Oryctolagus cuniculus: one gene and its partners. The protein of the gene in region 1 interacts with the protein of each later gene in a pairwise test. Links are inferred from orthologs where the notes say so. Each region holds a gene or a part of one and is shown in the gene's direction. Other genes may lie near its edges. The genes, in order: AMOT, PTPA and C7H1orf216.

What was found.
Region 2: the proteins of AMOT (region 1) and PTPA interact in binary tests that used the Homo sapiens proteins (3 or more experiments, as listed by UniProt). The two-hybrid records come from large-scale screens. The link is inferred for Oryctolagus cuniculus from reciprocal best matches to the Homo sapiens genes AMOT and PTPA.
Region 3: the proteins of AMOT (region 1) and C7H1orf216 interact in binary tests that used the Homo sapiens proteins (3 or more experiments, as listed by UniProt). The two-hybrid records come from large-scale screens. The link is inferred for Oryctolagus cuniculus from reciprocal best matches to the Homo sapiens genes AMOT and C1orf216.

What each region holds. Positions count from the first base shown.
Region 1 is NC_091453.1:80,576,902-80,579,498, forward strand, and holds part of AMOT (angiomotin), read left to right. Parts: coding exon 1-434; intron 435-782; coding exon 783-880; 3' UTR 881-2,597.
Region 2 is NC_091432.1:232,229,116-232,233,476, forward strand, and holds the start of PTPA (serine/threonine-protein phosphatase 2A activator), read left to right. Parts: upstream 1-1,512; 5' UTR 1,513-1,598; coding exon 1,599-1,629; intron 1,630-4,361. Other genes in the region: CRAT (carnitine O-acetyltransferase), read right to left, coding at 449-475. UniProt on the Homo sapiens protein: PPIases accelerate the folding of proteins. It catalyzes the cis-trans isomerization of proline imidic peptide bonds in oligopeptides. Acts as a regulatory subunit for serine/threonine-protein phosphatase 2A (PP2A).
Region 3 is NC_091438.1:136,912,763-136,917,197, forward strand, and holds the start of C7H1orf216 (UPF0500 protein C1orf216 homolog), read left to right. Parts: upstream 1-1,525; 5' UTR 1,526-1,776; intron 1,777-4,387; 5' UTR 4,388-4,392; coding exon 4,393-4,435.

The sequences.
Region 1 (2,597 bases):
TGCTGTTGCTCCAGCTGCCACTGCTGTTGCTGCTGCCCCATCTCCAGCAACTGCTGCTGCTCTTACTGTTGCTGCTTCTCCAGCTGCTGCTGCTCAGATGCCAGCTGCTGCCTCTGCCACCACCGCCACTGCTGCTCCTGCTGCTGCTCTTGCTCCTGTTGCTGCTGTTGCTGCTGTTGCAGTTCAGGTTGCTCCAGCTGCTCCGGCTCCGGTTCTAGCTCCAGTTCCAGCCCCGGCTCTGGCCCCAGCAGTGGCTCAGGCTTCTGCTCCGACTCAGACTCAGGCACCAACTCCTGCTCCGACTGTGGCTCCTCCTGCATCTCCAGCTCCAGCTCCAGCTTTGGCTCAGGCTGAGGCTCCTGCAAGTCCAGCCACTGGTTCTGGATCACGTCGTTTGTCTATACCAAGTTTGACTTGCAATTCAGATAAGACAGGTAATAATTCTCTACAGCAGGGAGCTTTTGGTACGGCTCTCAAAACGCAGGTTGATTTGTGGGTACCTGCTGCTCAGGCAGAGATGGTCATCTGGACTGAGCCCTTCATGTTGTAATGGGGAGCCATTAGAGGAGGGGAGAGGGTCTACAGATGATTTCTCTTCCACTGAGACAGGAATGGGCATGAGTAGAAGCCATTTTCCCAGTAGAAGTAAATGGGGGTGAGGGGGTGGCACTCAAGGCTCAATTTACCCTTACCTCCACGAGGGCTCTAATGCTGTCTGTTTCTAGAAAATTGAGCTTTTTAAATATCCTTATAAGTATCTTCAACACCTTATTTTCATTCAGATGGCCCTGTTTTCCACTCCAATACTCTGGAAAGAAAAGCACCCCTTCAGATCCTGGGACAAGAGCCTGAAGCAGAGATGGTGGAATATCTCATCTAAATGACCTTATCAAGAGCTGGAGTTTATCAGAAACAATGCTTTTAATCATTTCCCCCTTTTGTTTGTTCTTATTTTTAGGGTGAGGATAAGGGTTGGGGGGTGGGTATGTTTTCTAAAGGGACTTTTTATTGGAACAATATAGTACTTAAGTAATACCATATGAACTTCAGTCTATTCTGGTATACTCCGAAAGTACCTCTAAAGACAGACTCATCAGAATGTGTTCTGAAGTCTGTTGTTTGCATTAGTACAAAACTGGGACTGTTACCAGGTGGATATACAGTGATGTTTTCAGTGTGCTTAAATTTGTTTAAAATTTCCCTCTTCCAGATTATTTTCTATTGAAGAGCACAGCATGTGTGAAAGACAGTGTATAACATGTAGTGCAGACATGGAAAGCCAGAGAGAGTTCATGTGTGTGCTGTTTTGTGCAGTTACCAACTGGATAGCAGCCAGAGAAAGCTCTCACCTCAGGCTCATGAAAGGGAATAGTTTTAAGAGCTTATGTAAGCTGGAGAACAGGTGGGGAGCACTGGGATACAGAAAGATGCTAGAGCTAATTTTCCCTCTCAGTTTCCCAGCTACCTTGCCCCAAGGGATTGTGTTGATCTTCATTTCAGTGGTGCTTTGGAAGTGGGTTCTTTTGGTTCCCTCCTGGAGGTTCATACATTCATATATATATATATATATATATGTGTGTGTGTGTATATATATATATATATTCTGAAGTAATTTATGCATTTGGATAATTAATATATTGCTTTCAGATGCTAGGAGAGTAAATTAACTGAGTGATATGCAACTTCCTCTCTCCTAGGGGAGTTAGGCATCCAAGGCCTCTATGGAGAGTTGCATGAGGTGCTGTGTGTAGATTGTTATAGCCATGAACACAGCTTGTCTGCCTTTTGTGAGAACAATCAGCTTAGTATTTATTTCTTCTATAGCATAGGTTCACTAGCTGGATTACTTACTAGTCCCAAATTGCCAATAGTTTGCAAAATGAGAGAGCGTTTTTGTTGACAAGTTGAACGCTTTAAATTTCTGGTGACTGTTTTGAAATAATTCATTCTGTTTTTCCAGTTTCTTAGTGTATTTGACTATCGCCTCCAAGGGAATAGCACTAGAAGGCCAAAGTACTATGGTGCAGACAGAGGAGAGGTGGATTGTGTGGTCTTCTCAGTTGCCTCTTCTCATTGCCAGGGATTCCTTGAAATAGCTTTGGGAAGCAGTGGGAAATGTGTATGTGGGCGGGGACCAAAGGAGGCAGTGGCTGCAAGCCTTGCCAGTCTGTCTCCAATGACACAGAGGGTGCTACTTGCCACAGGCCCCTGCCCTGTGTCACCTCTCTGCCCTTCATTAAGGGGACAAATCTGCAGACAGTGTCATTAAGTTCAGTTTTCAGGGGTATAGGAAGGGTGAAGGGGCATTGTTAGGTAAGGGTGGGGATAGAAGTTTTGGGATATATTAGAAACCAGATTAATAGAAGAATAGGCCTGATATATTGTATCATGAGCCATAGTGATGGGAAGGAACTTAAGCAACATAGCCCTTCCCTCTAATTTTAGTGATGAGAATCTGAGACTTAGAGAGGTTCGGTGACTTTTTCAAGATCACACAGCACTGCTGTCCACACTGCCAATTACCATGCTGATTTTGGGAAACCCTTATACACGGAAAAAGAGCCCATTTTAAGAAAAAGACATCTTCATGGTCCAAG
Region 2 (4,361 bases), on another chromosome or scaffold:
GCGCTCCCGCCGACTTTCTGAGCTGCCCAGTTGGCTGCCTCCACGCGAGCTGCCCTGGCAGCCCCGGTGGCCGTCTGGTAAACCCGAGGAGAGCGTTTAAGTGTCGGCCACCACGGGCATGGGACTCAGAAAAACAGGGAGAGGCAGTGCCGGTTCAAGCCGCGCGTCTCCACCTCCCGCTCGGTCTAGGGGTGCGTGCGGAGGCCCGCGTCCTCGCTGTCTTTTCCGGGTCGCTGGAACTGCGCGCCGCGGGACGCGAGTTCGATCCGGCCCTGACCTTGCGCCTCCACCCCCTCCTCTGCCACACCGGGGTTGGGGGGGATCCCCCTGCAGGCCCCGCCCCAGCCAGAGCCCCCGGCCGCGCCGCTCCCAGGCCCGCGCCCCGACCGGCGCAGTGGCGCAGCCGGCCCGGCCGGGGCCCTCCCGCCCGGACTCCGTCCGCACTCACCATGGTCCTGGCGGCAAAGGCTAACATCTTTGCTGTCTGCCCGCGGACGCGCAGGCCGCTCCGCCCACCAAACCGGGCAAAGTCCGCTTGGCTGCTGCGGCCGGTGGGTCCCCGCTAGAGCTTCAGGGCCAAGGTCGCCGAGTCACCGCCACCAGCCGGTAGAGGCGGCCCCGCGCCCACCCACCGGGCCGGTCGGGCGGCGGGCGGACGGCCCGGGGAGGACACCGGGGCGGGGCCTTGGTCACGGAGCCCCGGGCGGCTAGCCGCGAGCCCGGGGCGGGGCCACGGCAGGCGGGGGCGGGGCCAACAGCGGGCCCGGGGCGGGGCCACCTTGGGGAGGGGCCAATAGCGAGCCCAGGGCGGGGCCAACAGCGGGCTCGGGGCAGGGCCACTGCGGGGAGGGGCCAATAGCGAGCCCGGGGCGGGGCCACGGCAGGAGGGGCGGGGCCAACAGCGGGCTAGGGTGGGGCCACTGCGGGGCGGGGCCACGGCGGGCGGGGAGGCGAGCGGCGCGCAGCTAGCGGTTGTGCGACACCGTGGAGCGCTGGGGCTGAGGCAGAGGGGTAAGGCGAGGTCAGGGTTCAGCTCTTCCCCCCGCCTCCAAATGCCATTGAAGCTGTGCGCCCTCATAGGCGGCAGGAAGACACAGGGTGACGGGAATGTCCTCTGACATTCTTTAGATTAAGATGACAGCCGGGACCGGCTCCCAGAAACATGGCTGCTGCACCCCCCTTAACCCCTCCACAAAAACTTGACACCCGCGAAAGTACGGCTGCCGGGCGGGCCATTAGCGGTCGAGCAGCGGCCCGGCAGTTGGGGCGCAGTGCGCATGCTCCCGGGCGCCCCGCACTGACATGGCGGCCCCTCAGTGCGCATGCTCCGCAGGCGCCCCGCACTGACATGGCGGCCGCCCGTCGTCGCCGCGGCCGTCGCGAGCCGGCCGTTGCTGGGCATGCTCGCTGAGCGCCCGGCACCAGCATGGCGGTCGTCTCGGCGGGGGTGACTTTAATTCTCGGTTTTCGGTGATAGCAGACCGGCGCTCGTTGCTCTCCGGAAAACTCGGAGCCCGTGGCAGAGCCGGGGACCTGAAGAGCGGGTGCGGGGTGAACGCCGAGAGGGGACTGCGGGCGCCGCGCCGGCTCCGCGGAAGATGGCTGAGGGCGAGCGGCAGCCGCCGCCAGGTAGGGCCGTGGTGTGGGGCGCAGCCGGGAGGGGCTCGGGGGCGCGGGGCTCGGGGGCGCCGGCCGGGCGGCGGGGCTCGGGGGCGGCGGGTGCGGGGGCCTTCGGCGCGCCTGCCCCGGCGGAGGAGTTAGCCGGAGCCCGGCGGCTGCCCGGTTTATGAGCGCCGCTGGGGCCGGGGCCGGTCGCTGCCCTCCGCCCCCAGGCCCGGGGCCGGGCTCTGGGGTTTATGGAGAGAAACTGCCCCGGGTGTGCAAACCTCTCGTTTATAGGAAGGCGGGTTGAGCAAGACAGAGACTCGCCGCGGGCATCAGGGCCTCTGAGCTGTGTTTGCACTGGGGCCTCGGCCGGCGGGCTGGCCTTAGGGGACCCCGGCCTCGTGCGGGAGAGGGAGGTGGGCGGCCCGCGACCCCTGCCCGGCCTGGCATTCCCTGGGCGCTGCGAGAGGCCTCCGGAGGGCGAGGCGCCCCCCAGCTCCCCAGGAGGAGAGCGATAGACAGACCCGGGTCTGGGCTGTGCGGGCTCTGCAGGCTGGGGTCGCGGCTGCCTTGGGCCGAGCCCCCCGTGCAGGTGCAGCGCGGGCGGGAGGCCCCCAGGGCCCCGCACTGCCCGGAACGAGAGAGAACAGATTCTCCTGGACCCGGCTCTGCCGCGGTGGGGGCTCGGCGATGGGTCGCGGTCCGAGTCCCCGGGGGCTTGGGGAGCGTGTCTGCAGCTCGGGTCTCCGTCTGAGTGACTTCCAGGCCGTCCTGGAAGGACACAGGTTCCTGCCCCGGGAGTGTGCATTGAGGCATCTGAGGCGTTGGTCGGTGCAGGGCCTCCCGGAGGGCCTGGCCTGGACGTGTCCCCCCCGCCCCCCCACGCTGCTGGCCTTGCCCACAGGAGCCGTTCTCACGCCGGCCGAGACCGGAGGCCTCTGCCCCGCAGCGTTTGGAGCTGGGTGCGGGGGACGTGGAGCGCGTTTTCCCATAACAGCATCGTGCAGGTTACCGCCTGGCCTACAAAGCTTTTTATGTAGCATCCTGCCTGAAGTAGCAATTTACTAATAGTAGGGGCCTTAATTTGGGTTCTGGGAACAAGGTTTGCCGGCCAGGAGGCGGGGAGAGAGCTTCCGGTCCCTCTTGCTGGGGCCCTGGTGTGCCGGTGCCCTGCCCTTCTCCCACACGGGGTCCCCTCGGTCTCCCGGGTGTGCCTGTGCCCGGCCCTTCTCCCGCACGGGCCCCCTCTGTGTCCTGGGTGTGCCTGTGCCCGGCACTTCTCCCGCACGGGGTCCCCTCAGTGTCCCGGGTGTGCCTGTGCCCGGCCCTTCTCCCGCACGGGATCCCCTCGGTCTCCCGGGTGTGCCTGTGCCCTGCCCTTCTCCCGCACGGGGTCCCCTCGGTCTCCCGGGTGTGCCTGTGCCCTGCCCTTCTCCCGCACGGGGTCCCCTCGGTCTCCCGGGTGTGCCTGTGCCCTGCCCTTCTCCCGCACGGGGTCCCCTCGGTCTCCCGGGTGTGCCTGTGCCCTGCCCTTCTCCCGCACGGGGTCCCCTCGGTCTCCCGGGTGTGCCTGTGCCCTGCCCTTCTCCCGCACGGGGTCCCCTCGGTCTCCCGGGTGTGCCTGTGCCCTGCCCTTCTCCCGCACGGGGTCCCCTCGGTCTCCCGGGTGTGCCTGTGCCCGGCCCTTCTCCCGCACGGGGTCCCCTCGGTGTCCCGGGTGTGCCTGTGCCCGGCCCTTGTCCCGCACGGGGTCCCCTCTGTGTCCCGGGTGTGCCTGTGCCCGGCCCTTCTCCCGCATGGGGTCTGCTCTGTGTCCCGGGTGTGCCTGTGCCCGGCCCTTCTCCCGCACGGGGTCTCCTCTGTGTCCCGGGTGTGCCCGTGCCCGGCCCTTCTCCCGCACGGGGTCGCCATCGGTCTCCAGCGCGTCTAGTGTTTTTCCTTTCCTCATGGCCTCCCTGGAGCCCCAGGTGTCACATATTCCAGAACCTTCTTAGGTTGCTGTCTCTTTTTTCCGTGGTTGGTGTCATTTAGGTTTGAGGAGGAGGGTGGTGGAGCAGACTCCTGCACCTGTGTCTGGGGCCCTGTGCGCCCCTGCAGACGTGCGTCTTCGCAGGAAGTGCACTTCGCCAGCTGCAGACTCGGGCCACAGCTCCCTGTCCTCCCTGTGCAGAACCCGTGGGCCCAGCTGCACCCTGGGATTCGGCTTTTCCTGGTTCAGAAAGCAGCACCCCATCAGCACAGACGAGATTACCCGAGCCAGAGGTGCGCACATCTGCACAGTGAGGTGCCGGCGCTCCTCAGTGCTTCAGTCTCTGTGCCGAGTGAACGTGGGACAGACGCACTGAACACACTCTGTGCCGAGTGAACGTGGGACAGACGCACTGAACACACTCTGTGCCGAGTGAACGTGGGACAGACGCACTGAACACACTCTGTGCCGAGTGAACGTGGGACAGACGCACTGAACACACTCTGTGCCGAGTGAACGTGGGACAGACGCACTGAACACACTCTGTGCCGAGTGAACGTGGGACAGACGCGCTGAGCACACTCTGTGCCGAGTGAACGTGGGACAGACGCACTGAACACACTCTGTGCCGAGTGAACGTGGGACAGACGCGCTGAGCACACTCTGTGCCGAGTGAACGTGGGACAGACGCACTGAACACACTTTGGGCGTCAGAGCTTCTTGGACGTGGGGTTATGAATCAGGAGTTGAGGGCTTATACTTACCAGGGTCCTAAAATGAAGGGGGT
Region 3 (4,435 bases), on another chromosome or scaffold:
TCACCACCTATATTCTCTTAGCTGTTACCCAAACTTTGACTTTTGCCTTCTATCCCCTATTCTGTTTTAAAATCGCAGTTGTTGTGATCATAATTTTTTCTCTCCAGTTCCCCTGCTTTTGCATGTAGGTTTGTTGGTGTGGTGCGATGTGCCATCGGGTCTCCAGGTTGTAGAATGGTGAGTCAGAATCACGTGGGAACCGGAAGAGGATGCTTCATAGGGTCAGAAATGACTCTGTTCTCTAATTGCAAACTGAGCTCTCTACACACGTACTACAAGGAGGAAGGGAGTGACAGGGATCAGGGTCAGTGAGTGGAACTCTGACAAGCTACTCCAGCTTGGGACCGAGGACTTTCTTATCCAGTTACATCTGTGCACATGGGCAACTGCACAGGAACCCACTGTGCAGGCGCCACGGAGGGCGTCTGTGCCTAGCAGGAATTCTCTGCAACCTGAGCTCTGTCCCAGGGGACTCTTTCTATTTTTTTTTTAAAGATTTATTTATTTATTTGAAAGTTAGAGTTACACAGAGAGAGAAGGAGAGGCAGAGAGAGAGAGAGAGTGTGTGTGTGTCTTTCATTCCTGCTTCATTCCCCAAGTTGCTGCAATGGCCAGAGCTGCACAGATCTGAAGCCAGGAGCCAGGAGCTTCCTCCGGGTCTCCCACGTGGGTACAGGGGCCCAGGACTTGGGCTATCTTCTACTGCTTTCCCAGGTCATAGCAGAGAGCTAGATCAGAAGTGGAGCAGCGGAGACTCGAACCAACACCTATATGGGATGCCGGCATTGCAGGCGGTGGCTTTACCCAATACGCCACAGCATATTAAAAAAAAAAAAAAAAAAAAAAAAAAAAAGTAGCCTTCAGTCTGGCTTTGTGGCGCAGTGGGGTAAGCCCAGGCCTGCAATGCCAAGATCCATAGGAAGGCTGGCGGAGTCCCTGCTGCTCCACTTCAAATCAGGCTCCCTGCTAATGTACCTGGGAAAGCAGCAAAGGACGTCCCAAGGGCTTGGACCCCTGCCACTCAAGTGGCAGACCCAAATAGAGTTTCAGGCTCCTGGCTCCACCATTGTGGCCACGGCCATTTGGGGGCTGGATCTCTTCTCTCCCTCTCTGGAACTCTGCCTTTCAAATACATAAATAATTTTTTATATGGGGCGTGCACTTTTTAAATTTTTTTTTAATTTATTTGACAGAATGATAGTGAGAGACAGAAAGGTCTTCCTTCCGTTGGTTCACTCCCCAAATGGCCGCTGAGGCCCCTAAATAATTTTTTAAAGTAGCTTTCATTAATGATGAATCAGATGTGCACACAATTAATATAAAATTCCAGATTTTGATCAAAGGAACATAAGTGCTCTGAGATGATACAAAGCGGGGGACCAGTCTTGTCTCGGGGATCACAGAAGGTTTCTCAGATCTGAAATGTGGGGAAGCCTAGCCAGGAGACAACATTTCAGGCAGAGGCTGCGGTGCGTGCCACAGCCTCGAGGAAGGAGGGGCCCAGCGAGCGCCGTTAGGCGACAGCCAGACCTGGAAGGCCTGGCCTTGAGCAGCCGGCGCGGGGGAGGCGGCTGCGGCGCAGGGGCCCCGCGCAAGGCTCCCACGCAGAACCGAACCGGCCCACGTGGGCCGCCCCAACCCCGCCCCGCCGCGCAGACGCCGCCAGCAGCCGCAGTCCGGGCCCGGGCCGCGGGAAAGCCCGGGCGAGACACCCCCAGGCCGAGCGGGGCGCGCCGGAACCAGAGCCAGCTGCGCCGGAGCGGGCGCCTCCAGGCCGTGAGTCCGGGCCGAGGGGGAGGACTGGGGGCCCCGCCGCGGGGGCCGGGGGCTGGGGGCTGCAGCCCGCGCCCAGCGGCCCCTCCGCGGAGCTCTGCGGGGACGGCCTCTGCCCTATTCCCCGGGGGACGTCTCCGGCAGCGCCAGGAAGGAAGGGCGGCCGCCGCTGCTCCCGGCCCTGGCAAATTGCGGATTAACTGGGGGTGGGGCCGGGGTCTGATCCCCATTTTACTATCGCTGAGAACCCAGGATCCTCAGCGCCACCACCAGCCCATTCCAGCCTGCTTAGGAAAAAGACTCGGGGGAGGCTCCAGGCACCTAAGTGCACACTTTGGTGGGAGGCCTGGGGGTCCGCAGGTCACCGCGGGAATCGTTCCCACTGGATCCTTCCAGGCCTTCTGCCCTCTCCCAACTGTGGGAAGAGCCTGTGCCACCTTAGGGGTCCCCCTGGGGCCTGCTGCCCTTACCTTGTACCCCTTAGTGACCCTCCGGTTTCCCTGTCCTGGGAGTAAGTGTGTGGTCGTGGTCGGGAGAAACCTCTTCTCAGTTCAGACCGGGATTTTGGTGGAAGCCCTGCTAGGAAGAGGGATGCCCTTTGCACTCCCTCCTGGAACTCCGGATGGGGCAAACTAGGGCCAGGATGCAGGTGGTGGGGGAAGAGGGATGGCGCATCGGGCGTGGCACCTCAGTGCTTGCTCCAGGAGCGTGATGGGGGGAGCTGGAGGAAGGCATGAGGAACTGTGTTTACATTTATTAAGGGCGGGGCAGATGGAGGGGGGATTCTCAGGCAGGCCTCAGAGCATTTGCCGGGTGGAGAGGGAGGAGCTTAGAGGGGAAGGGAGAGGCAGGCACTGCAGGCCAGAGCCATAGTGGAGCGCAACAATAGTGGATCTTGAGCTCCTGGAGCAGTCGGATGTGATGGGAGGCAGGGTGCGGGTGCTCAGGGCCATTAGGCCATGTAGATCTTTAAGAGGAGTTCAGGAACAGTACTCACTCAATTTTTAAATTTGCATTTTAAAATTCATTTATTTATGGGGCTGGCATTGTGGCATAGCGGGTAAAGCCACCGCCTGCAGTGCCAGCATCCCATATGGGCGCTGGTTTGAGACCCGGCTGCTCCACTTCCAATCCAGCTCTCTGCTGTGGCCTGGGAAAGCAGTGGAAGATGGCCCAAGGCCTTGGGCCCCTGCACCCTCATGGGTGACCTGGAAGAAGCTCCTGGCTCCTGGCTTCAGATTGCCACAGCTCCGGCCATTGCAGCCATCTGGGGAGTGAACCAGCGGATGGAAGGTGTCTCTCTCTCTCTCTCTCTCTAACTCTGCCTTTCAAATAATTAAATAAATCTTTTTTAAAAAATTCATTTATTTATTTGAAAGGCAGTGACATGGCCGGCGCCGCGGCTCACTAGGCTAATCCTCTGCCTGCGGTGCCGGCACACCGGGTTCTAGTCCCGGTCGGGGCGCCGGATTCTGTCCCGGTTGCCCCTCTTCCAGGCCAGCTCTCTGCTGTGGCCAGGGAGTGCAGTGGAGGATGGCCCAGGTGCTTGGGCCCTGCACCCCATGGAAGACCAGGAGAAGCACCTGGCTCCTGCCATCAGATCAGTGCGGTGCGCCGGCCGTGGCGGCCATTGGAGGGTGAACCAACGGCAAAAGGAAGACCTTTCTCTCTGTCTCTCTCTCTCACTGTCCACTCTGCCTGTCCAAAAAAAAAAAAAAAAAAAAAAGTCAGTGACAGAGAGAAGAGAGAAATACCAATCTTCTGTCTACTAGTTCACTCTCCAAATGGCTGCAACAGCCAGGGCTGGGCCAAGCTGAAGCCTGGAGCCAGGAACTCCATCCTGGTCCCTATGTGAGTGGTAGGGGCCCAAGTACTTGGGCCATCTTCCACGGCCTTCCCAGATGCATTAACAGGAAACTGGATTGGAAGTAGAGCAGCTGGGACTTGAACCAGCTTTCTGATATGGGATGCCAGCATTGCCACAACAGCTTCACCTGCTGTGCAACCACGTTGAGCCCCCAAATTTACATGTTTAGCCACAGGAAGAGAGATTAGTGAAAAGGCTGTGGCACTAGTCCAGGTAAAAAATGGCCTGAGCCAAACGAAATTGAAGAGGAAGAATTGTCTGAATTTGGTGATTGATAAGAGATGAGGGACGGAAGGAAAATGCTTATTCCAGGATGCTTCCGGGCTCTGGCTGGGGTGGCTGAACAGGGAGCAGAGCCGTCTTGCTGAGGACACGAAGATGGGAGCTGGCTGGGACTGGGAGATTTCCAGGGGCCTGTGGGTGGCTGCAGGGCTGGGTAACAGTTGGATCTGGGCTGGAGACAGATTGGAGAGTTACCAGCATATGATGATTCCCAAAGCTGCAGCCCACAGCCGGGTCATCTGGGGAGAAGCGTGTAGAACGAAAAGGCAGCCTGCCTCGGAGCGCTGAAAAACACGCTGTGCAGGCTACTGCAAAGGAGCAGTGAGGGAGGTGGGGACCAGCAGGGGCAGTGCGAGCCCAGCCAAGGGGAGGGGATGACAAGGAGCTGCCAGGCGTGTGCCTGCTGCCCTGTGGCCAGGCTGCTGTGGCTCTGTCCTGTGTGACTCTTCTGCTTCCCCTTTGCAGACCAGATGTTCGCCATGGAGCCAGGGCTAGCTGAGGGGGGCCCGTTCC